Canis lupus familiaris: one gene and its partners. The protein of the gene in region 2 purifies or fractionates together with the protein of the main gene of each other region. This does not show direct contact. Links are inferred from orthologs where the notes say so. Each region holds a gene or a part of one and is shown on either strand. Other genes may lie near its edges. The genes, in order: ZMYM2, ARRDC1 and NEDD4.

Region 1 (3,652 bases), on a different chromosome or scaffold from region 2:
TGTATGTTTTTATGTACACTTCACTTTTGAACCACATGTATATATTCAAAAACAAACTAAATCAAAAGACCTTAACATTGAAATATAAGTAAGATAATCATTCCTAAGCTAAACTTTAAAATTGTACTTGGAACTCTTCTCCTTTACCCATAAACAATATTTCAAAAGAGGAATCATTCTGCCAGCATTTACCATTATATGTAAAATCACAATGTCTGAAAATCTACATACATCAGTATTCATTTGGGTTAGGTCAACTCTAAGAGTTGAAGAAAATAATGGAATTAAATGAGATTCCAGAATAAACCTAGTTAATAAATACTGCTAAAGTAAAACTATTACGGCAACTTAAAAATATTCAAAAGAATGGCCAATTCTGATTAGATCATGAATTACCTGTTTGTATTCACTGACACAACTTTGACAGCAAAATCTTTTCTGCTGACCATCGATCACCAGGACATTGTTTCCAGCACCTTTGCTCGGCAGGTACTCTCCACACTGCTCACAGCAATTCATTATTAAACCATTAGCCATTCTGTATCTATTAAAGCAGTGGTCACTGCACAGCTTATGAGTCATATTTTTAAAGCTAACTTCATGGCGAATCTAAAAACAAGCAAACAAAATTTTAAAGACCAATGAGTATCACACGTAGCTAAATAACAAGGTGCTCCAACAGAAAGAAAACAACTCAATGATTTTTCTGTGGAAGGCTTATTTAGGCAAAGAGAAAGAAAATAGCTTTCATTTTCTTTGAACTATTTTTATACACACAAGAAATACATGTATGGCAGAGGGGGAACCACTAGTGAATTATTACAAACTTCTCTAGAGTTATCTAAAAATGATAGGAAACAACTCAGGTTGGATATTGTTAATATAAAATTCTAAAACAGATTGAAAAATCTTTAGACCAATCCAAAAGGAACTAAAATTAAGTACATTGCTCTAGAAAGGGAGGAGAGAACCAATATTATAAAAAATTCAAATGATATGTAGAGTACACAGGTTTTTCTTCAAACAAATACAGAAATGTTAATACATCAGTAATGTGAAGTTATCAAAAAATAGTCTCTCCACTTATTCTCCTTCTTAAGCATTCTAGTCTGTTGTCTTTTGGTAATCAGCCTATGTGTTTAAACACTATGGTTTTGGCTCTCTCTACATGTTCCAAACCTCAAGAAAAAGTCAACTAATATTAAATTTTAGTATTTCCTAAATCATGCTCCCCATGTGAGAATGGGATTACATAATGGGATATTATTATAAGATAAATTTTATATATCATCTGTTTTAAGGAAATACATACTGATCAGTTTATCCTAACTATTAAATAATGTTAAGAATATTTCCATTATTTAGAACTAAAGAGAGAAGGCACAAAAATACAAACCTCTGTTAGTTTACCACAAATTGTACATCTTGATTTATTTAGAGCTCCTTTAGTAGGATTCTGTTTGTCCTCATAGAGAGACAAACAAGATGTACTACAGAATTCCTGGAAGGATTCACTTGAATCCACTTGAGCAACAATGGTTCCTTTCATTGTAGTTATATCTCTGAAAAATAAGCAAGACAACTTAAAGCAAAATTCTATTTTTAAAAAAATCAAATATAAGAGTAATAACTAACATTTCTAATTTCTATAAATTGAACCATGTGAATCAAATACCATTTAGATCCATGAAATCACTTTTACTATTTAAAACCTCTTGGCAATAAAATTTTAATACAAAAGATTAAAAAACAAAAGTATTTTATACTATTAAATCTTTGCCAGTACTCAATTTATCTTCAAACTCCTTAACAAGGCTTCAAGATATTGGAAACACTTTTTTAAAAAGTTATTACTTACAAGGAGTTTAATGTCCAGGTCTAATCCCCTGAGGTATGAATTTGTAATACCTAGTCAATTCCTTTCCCATGCATAAGTAGAAAGTCTGAAAGATCTAGGTCACAGAGATGACAGATATTCTAGAGAAGATAACTGAACTTAAGTACACCTCCATATCCATAACCCAAAACAACCCTACCTACCATTCTACACAGCTCTCCAAATGCAATTAGCAATCAAAAAAACAATACTGATGACATGTGACAATTCCCTTTAATAAAATTCTGAATTTTGAGGTCCTATGTTACAGTATGCAAAAGGCTACTACTATAAAGCAATCTAAAAACTGTATGATTGTTCCAATATTTGAATTCAATTTATACAGAACACTAAGGCTTTTTCAAAGTTCTAAGATCTAAAAAATATCGTCACAAACATAGGCTGCTCCAAAATATGGTAGGCTCCAGGCTCAGCACGGATCTAAGTGCAGGGCTTGAACTCACAACCCTGAGACCAAGACCAAAGCTGAAACTGAGTTGGATGTTTAACGGACTAAGCTACCCAGATGCTCCAATATTCCATTTATTTTTAACTAGTGGAAGCCAGACCTAAAAATTGGCAGAAGAGAGAACTGTCTCTCTCCAAGGCTATCAAAAAACTGGTACCTGAGTCTTAAAACCGTGAGCAGGAGCACCTAGATGGCTCAGTTGGTTAAGCATCTGCCTTAGACTCAGGTCATGACCCCAGGATCCTGGGATAGAGCCAGAATCTGCTCCCTGTTCAGCAGAGGGACAGCTTCTCCCTCTCTCTCTGCCACTCCCCCTGCTTGTACTTGCTTGCTCCCTCTGTCAAATAAATAAATAAAATCTTTAAAAATAAATAAATAAAATCTAAAGACATGCCAATTTAAAATGATCTTAAAATGAAGATAGTGCAAAATCTGACCTATTTTTATATAGTACTAGTTATAATAAACTGCAAAACAATATTATCTTGCCAAAATTAAATTCTAATAATTAGTAATGTGAATAAGCTGTATGCATTTTGACAAATGTCAAGGAGTCCAATGGAGATTACAGACAAAATTACAAGGGCCTTAAATCAACCTCAGAGCACCTGGCTGGCTCAGTCATTTGGGTATCTGACTCTTGACTTTGGCTAGGGTCATGGTCTCATGGCATGAGCCTCAAATCCAGCTCCACACTCAGCATGAAGTCTGCTTAGGATGCTCTCTCTCTCCCTCTCCCTCTGCACAACCCCCTCTACCCCGCATGCTCACGTGCTGTCTTTCTCTCTCTCAAATAAATCAATAAATCTTTTATAAATAAAGAAATAAACAAACCCCAAAGTCTGCCCAATAGGAAGTCTTTTACCATAAGCCACCTGGTGTGGTAGAAAAGCCTCCAAAGCCATTACACATTTGAGTTTGGCTTTAAGATTTAAACAACTAGCTTACTAATTTTTCAAACACCATAATTCACCTCTTAGACTCATGATTTCCCTAAAATTATATACCACCAATATTCAATCATATGGAATGATGTTGAAAGGTAAACCTTACCTACATTTGTGATGAGCAAAGCATAACCTACAGACTTGTTGGACCACTCTGTTGTACACCTGAAACTAATGTAATACCATGTGTCAACTATACTTCAATTAAAAAAAAAGAAAAGAAAAGAAAACCTTACTTTTTACACATAACACAAAGTTTCTTTGGAGCAGGCTTGTGAGAGAAGGAGGAAAGGCAGGTGGTAGAACAAAAGAGGTGAGCTGATCCTTTTCGTTGATAAGCTGTCTGTCCCTTCTGTAAAG
Region 2 (3,214 bases):
AGACGGGGGGAGGGGGGGGGCTCAGGAGCCTTGAGGTGACGCCACCGGACAGCGGACAGAGGCAGTGGGCCATCTCACACTCCCAGCCTCTGCCTCCTGGTGCCACAACAGCACAGGGCCGCAACCTGGGCCGAGGACGGGTTACAAGAGCTTGGCTTGGAGAGGAAAGGGGGACAGGGCTCTGCCAGGGGCCGGAGCCCACCCACACCCAGGAGATGTGGCCCCCTCAACCCCCCAGACCCTATCAGGCAATGCCCCATGCCTTCAGGCAGAGAAACACATCTGGTACAAAGCCTTTCCAGAGGGTGGGTCAGCACAGAGATCCCAGAAGCAAATGGGGAGCTGTGGTGGACAGACAGGCCCCACTCTCAACCAATGTCTGCCCTGGGGTGCCAGGGGCTCACTCAATGCAGCAAGGCAAGTGCAAGGCTCCTGGACTCACCCTTGTCAGCCAGCGACAGAGCACTGTTGAAGTAAGCCTCCTCCACCACCCACGCGGCATCGTTGGCCTTGTTGGACACCCTGCAGGAACCCATGCAGGTCACCCGGATGGCTGCAAGGCAGGGGGATGGCATGAGTCCAGGCAGCCACAGGCCTGGGCCCCTTCCTGCCCCCATCACAAAGATTCAGGTAGAGCTCGCCAAGGGGCGAGCTGGGCCTCTGATGGGCCCACAAGTGGCCTGTGCCCTGCAGAGGATACCTCTGTCCATCCCACATTTGGGGGTAGTCCCAGGGAGCCAGGGTGATAAGGCACAGAGGCAGATCTGTCCTGAAGTCCAGAACAGGAGGGTCCCAGCAGTCACCCAAATGTCCCACACAATCCCCCACCTGGTAACCTTGGTTTCCAGCCACCCTGGGCCCAGCAGACCTGTGGAAACTCAGCTCCCTACAAGAGATGCTTGGGGCACCAATGACGACAAAAGCCTATGAACAGCCAACCTCACTACATGTGGCCTCACTGGCAAGTCAACCAGGCTGGGAGGTGCCTCTTCACGCTCCAGGAAGCTAACTGTTAGCCCTTCAGGATGCAGGAATGTGGTCAGACCTGCCCGAGCTGATGAGTACCCAACAGTCTGGCACACCCTGGACTTCCGGACCAGTCCTGCCCACAAGGGCCGATGTCCTCTGCCCTACTCGCGGGTGGAAATGCCTAGATTAGGCCTGTTTGCAGTGGAGGTCGCCACCACCTTTCTGTGGTCAGGAACTCAAACTCCCCACTCCAGGGGACACAAGCCCAGAGAGCACTGTGGCCAGAGGCCCTGGCTGGACAACCAGGGGAGACAGCACAGCTGGGGCAGCCGAGGCTCAGTGCTGAGTAGCCCCGGATGGCCCGGCAGCTCCACCCCGCCAATAACTGCAGGCTTAAGACAAGGCCAAAGACACCAGCCTGCCTGCCCAGCCTCTCCCTGCCATCCCCTGACATGATGGTCAGCTGAGAAGAAGGGCACTTGGAATCTAACACCTTCTGACAGAGCCACTTAGTGGGAGGAACCCAGGATCCCAAGTGCCCAGGGCCAGGGCCAGCCTCACCAGACCATGTGCAGTCTCCCCAGGCCAGCCTCACCCCGCCCAAGCAAGCCTCCTGCTGGCCACTCACGGACCACCAGGCTCTCCCCCAGGGAGCCGACTTGTCCTGCACGCCCCCCGGCACCGCGCCCATGACTAGACCCCAGCCCAGATTTCTAACCCACACCCCATCAGCTGTCCCCTCCCAAGGCCAGACCCGATCTGCTCCCACCCCACAGATCTGAGACACCTGTGGTGCTCCCACAGGCTCCCGCAGCCCCAGAGGAACACAGTGGGGTGGGCTGGATAAGAGAGGGGACGCATGGCAATCCAGATGCCACAGCAGTCTACACTCCCCACAGAGGCGGGAGGGTGCACTCCACCTTGGAGCTGGCTGCCCTGCGAATTCTGGGACCCAAAGGAATTTGGCACTCCCCAGACTGATCGGCCCAGTGCCAGCTGAAAACCGTCAGGTGACTTCAGTGGATGATGTAGAGAGCCGAAGCCTCAACCTGCCCATCTCTGTCCAAATTCCCAATCCACGACGCCAGGAGCCATGATGAAACGGTTGCTTTAAGCCACTTAGTCTAGGGGTGGTTTGTCATAGGAGTGGCACAGCAGCAAACGACAGAAACAGACACCCCACCTCGGAAGACACCAGAGAAACTCAGACGAGTTATCATTTTACCCTATCCGATTGCCAAATATTAAATATTCTGACTAATGTTGGAGAGGAGATAGAAAAACAGAATCTTGGGACGCCTGGGTGGCTCAGTGGCTGAGCGTCTGCCTTTGGCTCAGGGTGTGATCCTGGAGTCCTGGGATCGAGTCCCACATCGGGCTCCCTGCATGGAGCCTGCTTCTCTCTGCCTGTGTGTCTCTGCCTCTCTCTCTCTCTCTGTGTCTCTCATGAATAAATAAAATCTTTAAAAAAAAAAAAGAAAGAAAAACACAATCTTCACAGCAATCACACCACGAGCTGCTACCAGGGCCCTGGCAAAGCAACAGGAGGATCTGCTGGGACCTTACACACTCAAACACGCGCACACATGCACACACACACCAGAGTACCCACAGTTCTCAGAACCCACCCTGTCTACCCAGGAGCTGTGAGCAACCTGTCTGTAACAACAAATTATCCAGGCACAGCCCACATGTCTAATGGCAGGGAGGCTAAGACTGTCACCCATCCAGCCCAAAACGGCCCCCAGAATTCAGGTGCACATGACACGGGGTCATCTGATCTCAGAAACACAAATGGTATCAGCCTCCCCTCAGGGTATCCCAGAGGGGCCCAAGTCCTAAGACGTTCCCAAGGCCCAGGCAGGGGGCCTCTCTGCACACACTGAAGGCCCTGTGGTGACCTGAGTGAGCAGCTTCCAATCACTGTCTTGGAGTCAAATGGCCATTCTGTCCACTCTCCTCCACAGGGGGACTGTGGAGGCAGGGGGAGGGACACACACAGCAGGACTGTCCCTCCTACCCCACGCAAGGGAGATGTGCTCCTGCAGGAGAGCAGGCCCATGGCACCAGCATGTGTGTCCCGTGTGTCTGTGTGACCTGTGTGTGTCTGTGTGTCCCATGTGGGTCTATGTGTGTCCCGTGGCTCAGCTACAGGACCAGGCGGGGGGGGGGGGGGGGGAGGGCCTGGTACGTGTTCTGGTCAGATGCACCCTCCAGCGCACAGCAACATGCCCTGAGGTAGCAT
Region 3 (3,652 bases), on a different chromosome or scaffold from region 2:
ATATACTTTACTGGAAATAATTTTGTAGTTCTTTCTGGGAAGACTCTGTACCTTCTTCCTTCATAGCCAGCGTCTCAATGTTCTTTATTCTCTTTCTGTAAAAATGCTGTATTACCCATTCATATTTATTTTTGGGCTTACCTAGTCTTTATTTTTTGTTTCCAACTGGAGTAAATATACCTTAAATGTTTTTCTTCATTCATATGAAAAAGATGAAATATTTTGTTTCTTTTTAGTCTTGTAATACAGTGGCGATTTGTAAACCGAATCCAGAAGCAAATGGCTGCTTTTAAAGAGGTATTCATTTACTTTTGTTTGTTCTTCTGTAATTTCAAAGTATAATTCTTGAGTTTCAAGTATTGGAGTCATCACATGTGATAATTAATGGATGACTTGCTTTTTAAAAACAACTTTTAATTTTTATAGTAAAAAATTTTAAATGAATAGGTGTTCACTGTTAAAACTCATTCAAGAAGCCCATTCAGTTGACATTGACAATCCTCCTTCACACTGGTCATGGATCCTCATCTTTTCCCAGTCATGTCTCCTCTTCCTCCTCCATCTTAAGTTACATTAGATGAACAAGGATCAAGGGTGCTATAGGGAGAGTGGAATAGGCCATTTATTTTCCCACATGGGATCACACTATACATGTTAGTTTGTGACTTGCTTTCTTGTCTTATCAAATATTTATTGGAAATCTTTATGTGTCAAGATGCGCAACTATTTTTCCTTGTGGCTGCAGTTTACTCATAAATCCATAAGGTTTTAAACTTCCCCAGTTAGTGAACATTTAGGCTGTTGCCAGTGCACTCTTGTGTCTTAAACCAACTTAAAACCTTCTGTTAGATATTTATCACGTACTTTTTTATTTATCCGGTATTCAGCACTCACTCTGTATCTGGTACTGCACAAGGCATAAAGACATAGGTCCTGTTATAGGGGGCAGAGAATCTGAAGAGGTGGACAGAGGCAAGCCTGTGCTTGGTAAGCACAGTGGAGAGGTGGAAACCAGGGCAGGAGAGGTGCAGGGAGGGACAGGGAAGGCCTAGGGCGTTTGGCCCGCTACATGCAATTCCAAGCAGAATGAGTGGTCTGTGTGAAGTCTGTCCATAAGACTGTGTGCATGTTGGAGAAAATGCCAGCAGTTCATAAGATGATGCAGGAGGTAAAACTGAGCTGGAGAGCTGACCAGAACTGGGTTATGAAGGGCCTGTTTGCTAACCTGGAAACAAAGGTGGGATTTGACTCTTTTGTGAAAATCCAGTGAGGGGAAGGAAGGTGGTATCAAAGGCTGTTCTATGATAAAACACCAGGATTCAATTTATATTTTAGTCAGATCATTCTGGAAGTGGCGTGTAGTGAGTTAGAGTTGGACAAGGCTAGCAGCAGGGGTGGGGGGAGAAGGTACTCCAGTGATCCAGGTGAGCAAAGGTAAGGGCAGGAACTAAGGTGGTAGTGGTGGGAAGACAGCTGTGTGTGTATCTGAGTGGGATTCATGAGGGAGAGCTGTAGTTCAGGATGCTTTAAAGGATAGAGGTCTGGGGAGGGCAGCATGAATTTGGGGATCATCTGCCTTTGTGTCCTGGAGCTGTGGACTAGGTGAGATGGGAAATTGGAAGAATGGTACGAACAATGAAAGTGGATGGCCACCATAGAGATGTGGGAACAGCAATATGGAAGGAACCAGTGGGTAGAAAAGGAGACTTCAAGGGAAATTAGCAAATGCAGACAGAGATGAAAGAGAAATCATCCACAGCAGACAAAGTTTCAACAACGAAGGTGTTTTCAACAATATCCTAGTGCAAAGAAGTAAAAAAAGATACAGAACTAGGAAGTGTTTATCAGAATTAGCCACAGAGCTGTCTCTGACTTTTTCCAGGACAGCCTGAGGGAAGCAGGGGCACAGAGGGCAGATGGCAGCGGGTGGAGGCAGAGCTGCAGGTGGGCAGGTGGCTTCAGTAAGGTATAATAACTTGGCAGTAAAGAGAAGAAAGATGGTTTTGCTTTTTTGTTTTGTTTTGTTTTTAAATTATTTATTCATGAGAGAGAGAGAGAGAGAGGCAGAGACATAGGCAGAGGGAGAAGCAGACTCCCTGTGGAGAGCCTGATATGGGACTTGATCCCAGGACCCCAGAATCACAACCTGGGCCGAAGGCAGATGCTCAACCACTGAGCCAGCCAAGAACCCCTTTTTTGTTATTTTTAAGGTAGATAAGCTTAAACAAGTATAAATGCATGTAGTGAGCTAATAAAGAGAAGGAGATTTAGTGAGAGGAGCCCTTCGGGGAAGCAGATGAGGCACAGAGAGGAGATAGCACCTGTCTCTGACAGTGGGAAGGGAGACCACAATGATGTCAGTGGCAGTTGGTACATGGAGATGCGTGCAGAAGGTTGAGGGAATTCCATAATCGCCTCTGTTTTGTCTCTCAAATAAAAGTTATCTGCTGTCAGGAAGGGGTAACATGGAGGAGGAGGAAGTGCCTTGGGAAGTGTGGAGAGGTTTCAAAATAGCCATTGTGAGGAATCAGTGAGAAAGAAGAGATTATGGACATGTACATTTTCTTGCCAATACTGGAATCTCAGTTAACTTAAGAACCCAAGACTAGGTGGTGGTAGGAACCTATGTGCATGTGGGATTTCTCCAGAACAACCCAGGAGCTAAAGTAGAGGGCTGTCAATGGAATCTGCTAACCAATTTTTAAAATACATTCCTTCTCCTAGGGATTTTTTGAACTAATACCACAGGATCTCATCAAAATTTTCGATGAAAATGAACTAGAGGTAAGAAATACTCTTATTTTCAAACAGGATTTTTGTGTCCATTATTTATCTTGTCTGTAGTTTGACATTTCTTATCACGTAGCTTCTTATGTGTGGATTGGGAGATGTCGATGTGAATGACTGGAGAGAACACACAAAATATAAGAATGGCTACAGTGTGAATCATCAAGTCATACAGTGGTTCTGGAAGGTAATTGAAAGCTTCTGTTTCTGTAAATTACTTTTCAATAGATTCAGTCATATTAACTATACTAATGGATCACATAGAGATAAGACACAATGTAATGTACTGTATACATCTACCTTCCGGATATGGCTGCAACCTCCATGCATATTTATAGATAAGTCAGTGTTCAGAATGTAGGAAGTCATGGGAACAGCCGTGGTGGGCTCTTGGTTCCTTACCAGCAGTAGAACTGTCCAAGAGAACTTGTAATCACCTGCAGTGCATTCTCTGGGCCTCCTGCATGGCTGCTTTAAATGTTATTTTCCATCTAATTGAGAATTGTGTGTGTTACTCAATAATATCAGTAAATATCATTTTTAAAAAGCCACGAGTCACATCCAAAAAGATATTTTTGTCACTTTATTAGGCTGTGATCTCATCCCACAGAGTTACTCTGTGTTTTTAGGAATTCTGTAAGCCACCCAGAAACACAAATGTAACTAACAGATATATGTAAATTTAATAATGGATCATTAATACCATAATTAAATTCTGATAACATATTTTTTAAGATAGTTCTGTTACTTTTTTTCCTAGGGATGTACCTAAATGCTGTTTTTCTCTTATTCAGGCTGTTCTAATGATGGATTCAGAAAAAAGAATAAGATTACTTCAGTTTGTCACTGGTACATCTCGAGTGCC

Evidence for each region.
Region 1: the proteins of ARRDC1 (region 2) and ZMYM2 purify together in Homo sapiens (affinity purification with mass spectrometry; 3 studies listed by BioGRID and IntAct, counting the BioPlex papers as one, with this or other methods). This does not show direct contact. The link is inferred for Canis lupus familiaris from reciprocal best matches to the Homo sapiens genes ARRDC1 and ZMYM2.
Region 3: the proteins of ARRDC1 (region 2) and NEDD4 purify together in Homo sapiens (affinity purification with mass spectrometry; 3 studies listed by BioGRID and IntAct, counting the BioPlex papers as one, with this or other methods). This does not show direct contact. The link is inferred for Canis lupus familiaris from reciprocal best matches to the Homo sapiens genes ARRDC1 and NEDD4.

The regions. Positions count from the first base shown.
Region 1 is NC_049246.1:18,189,770-18,193,421, forward strand, and holds part of ZMYM2 (zinc finger MYM-type protein 2), read right to left. Parts: coding exon 3,529-3,652; intron 1,563-3,528; coding exon 1,397-1,562; intron 610-1,396; coding exon 397-609; intron 1-396. UniProt on the Homo sapiens protein: Involved in the negative regulation of transcription.
Region 2 is NC_049230.1:48,164,536-48,167,749, forward strand, and holds part of ARRDC1 (arrestin domain-containing protein 1), read right to left. Parts: intron 554-3,214; coding exon 443-553; intron 1-442. UniProt on the Homo sapiens protein: Functions as an adapter recruiting ubiquitin-protein ligases to their specific substrates. Through an ubiquitination-dependent mechanism plays for instance a role in the incorporation of SLC11A2 into extracellular vesicles.
Region 3 is NC_049251.1:21,439,851-21,443,502, reverse strand, and holds part of NEDD4 (E3 ubiquitin-protein ligase NEDD4), read left to right. Parts: intron 1-236; coding exon 237-297; intron 298-2,724; coding exon 2,725-2,784; intron 2,785-2,866; coding exon 2,867-2,974; intron 2,975-3,581; coding exon 3,582-3,652. UniProt on the Homo sapiens protein: E3 ubiquitin-protein ligase which accepts ubiquitin from an E2 ubiquitin-conjugating enzyme in the form of a thioester and then directly transfers the ubiquitin to targeted substrates. Specifically ubiquitinates 'Lys-63' in target proteins.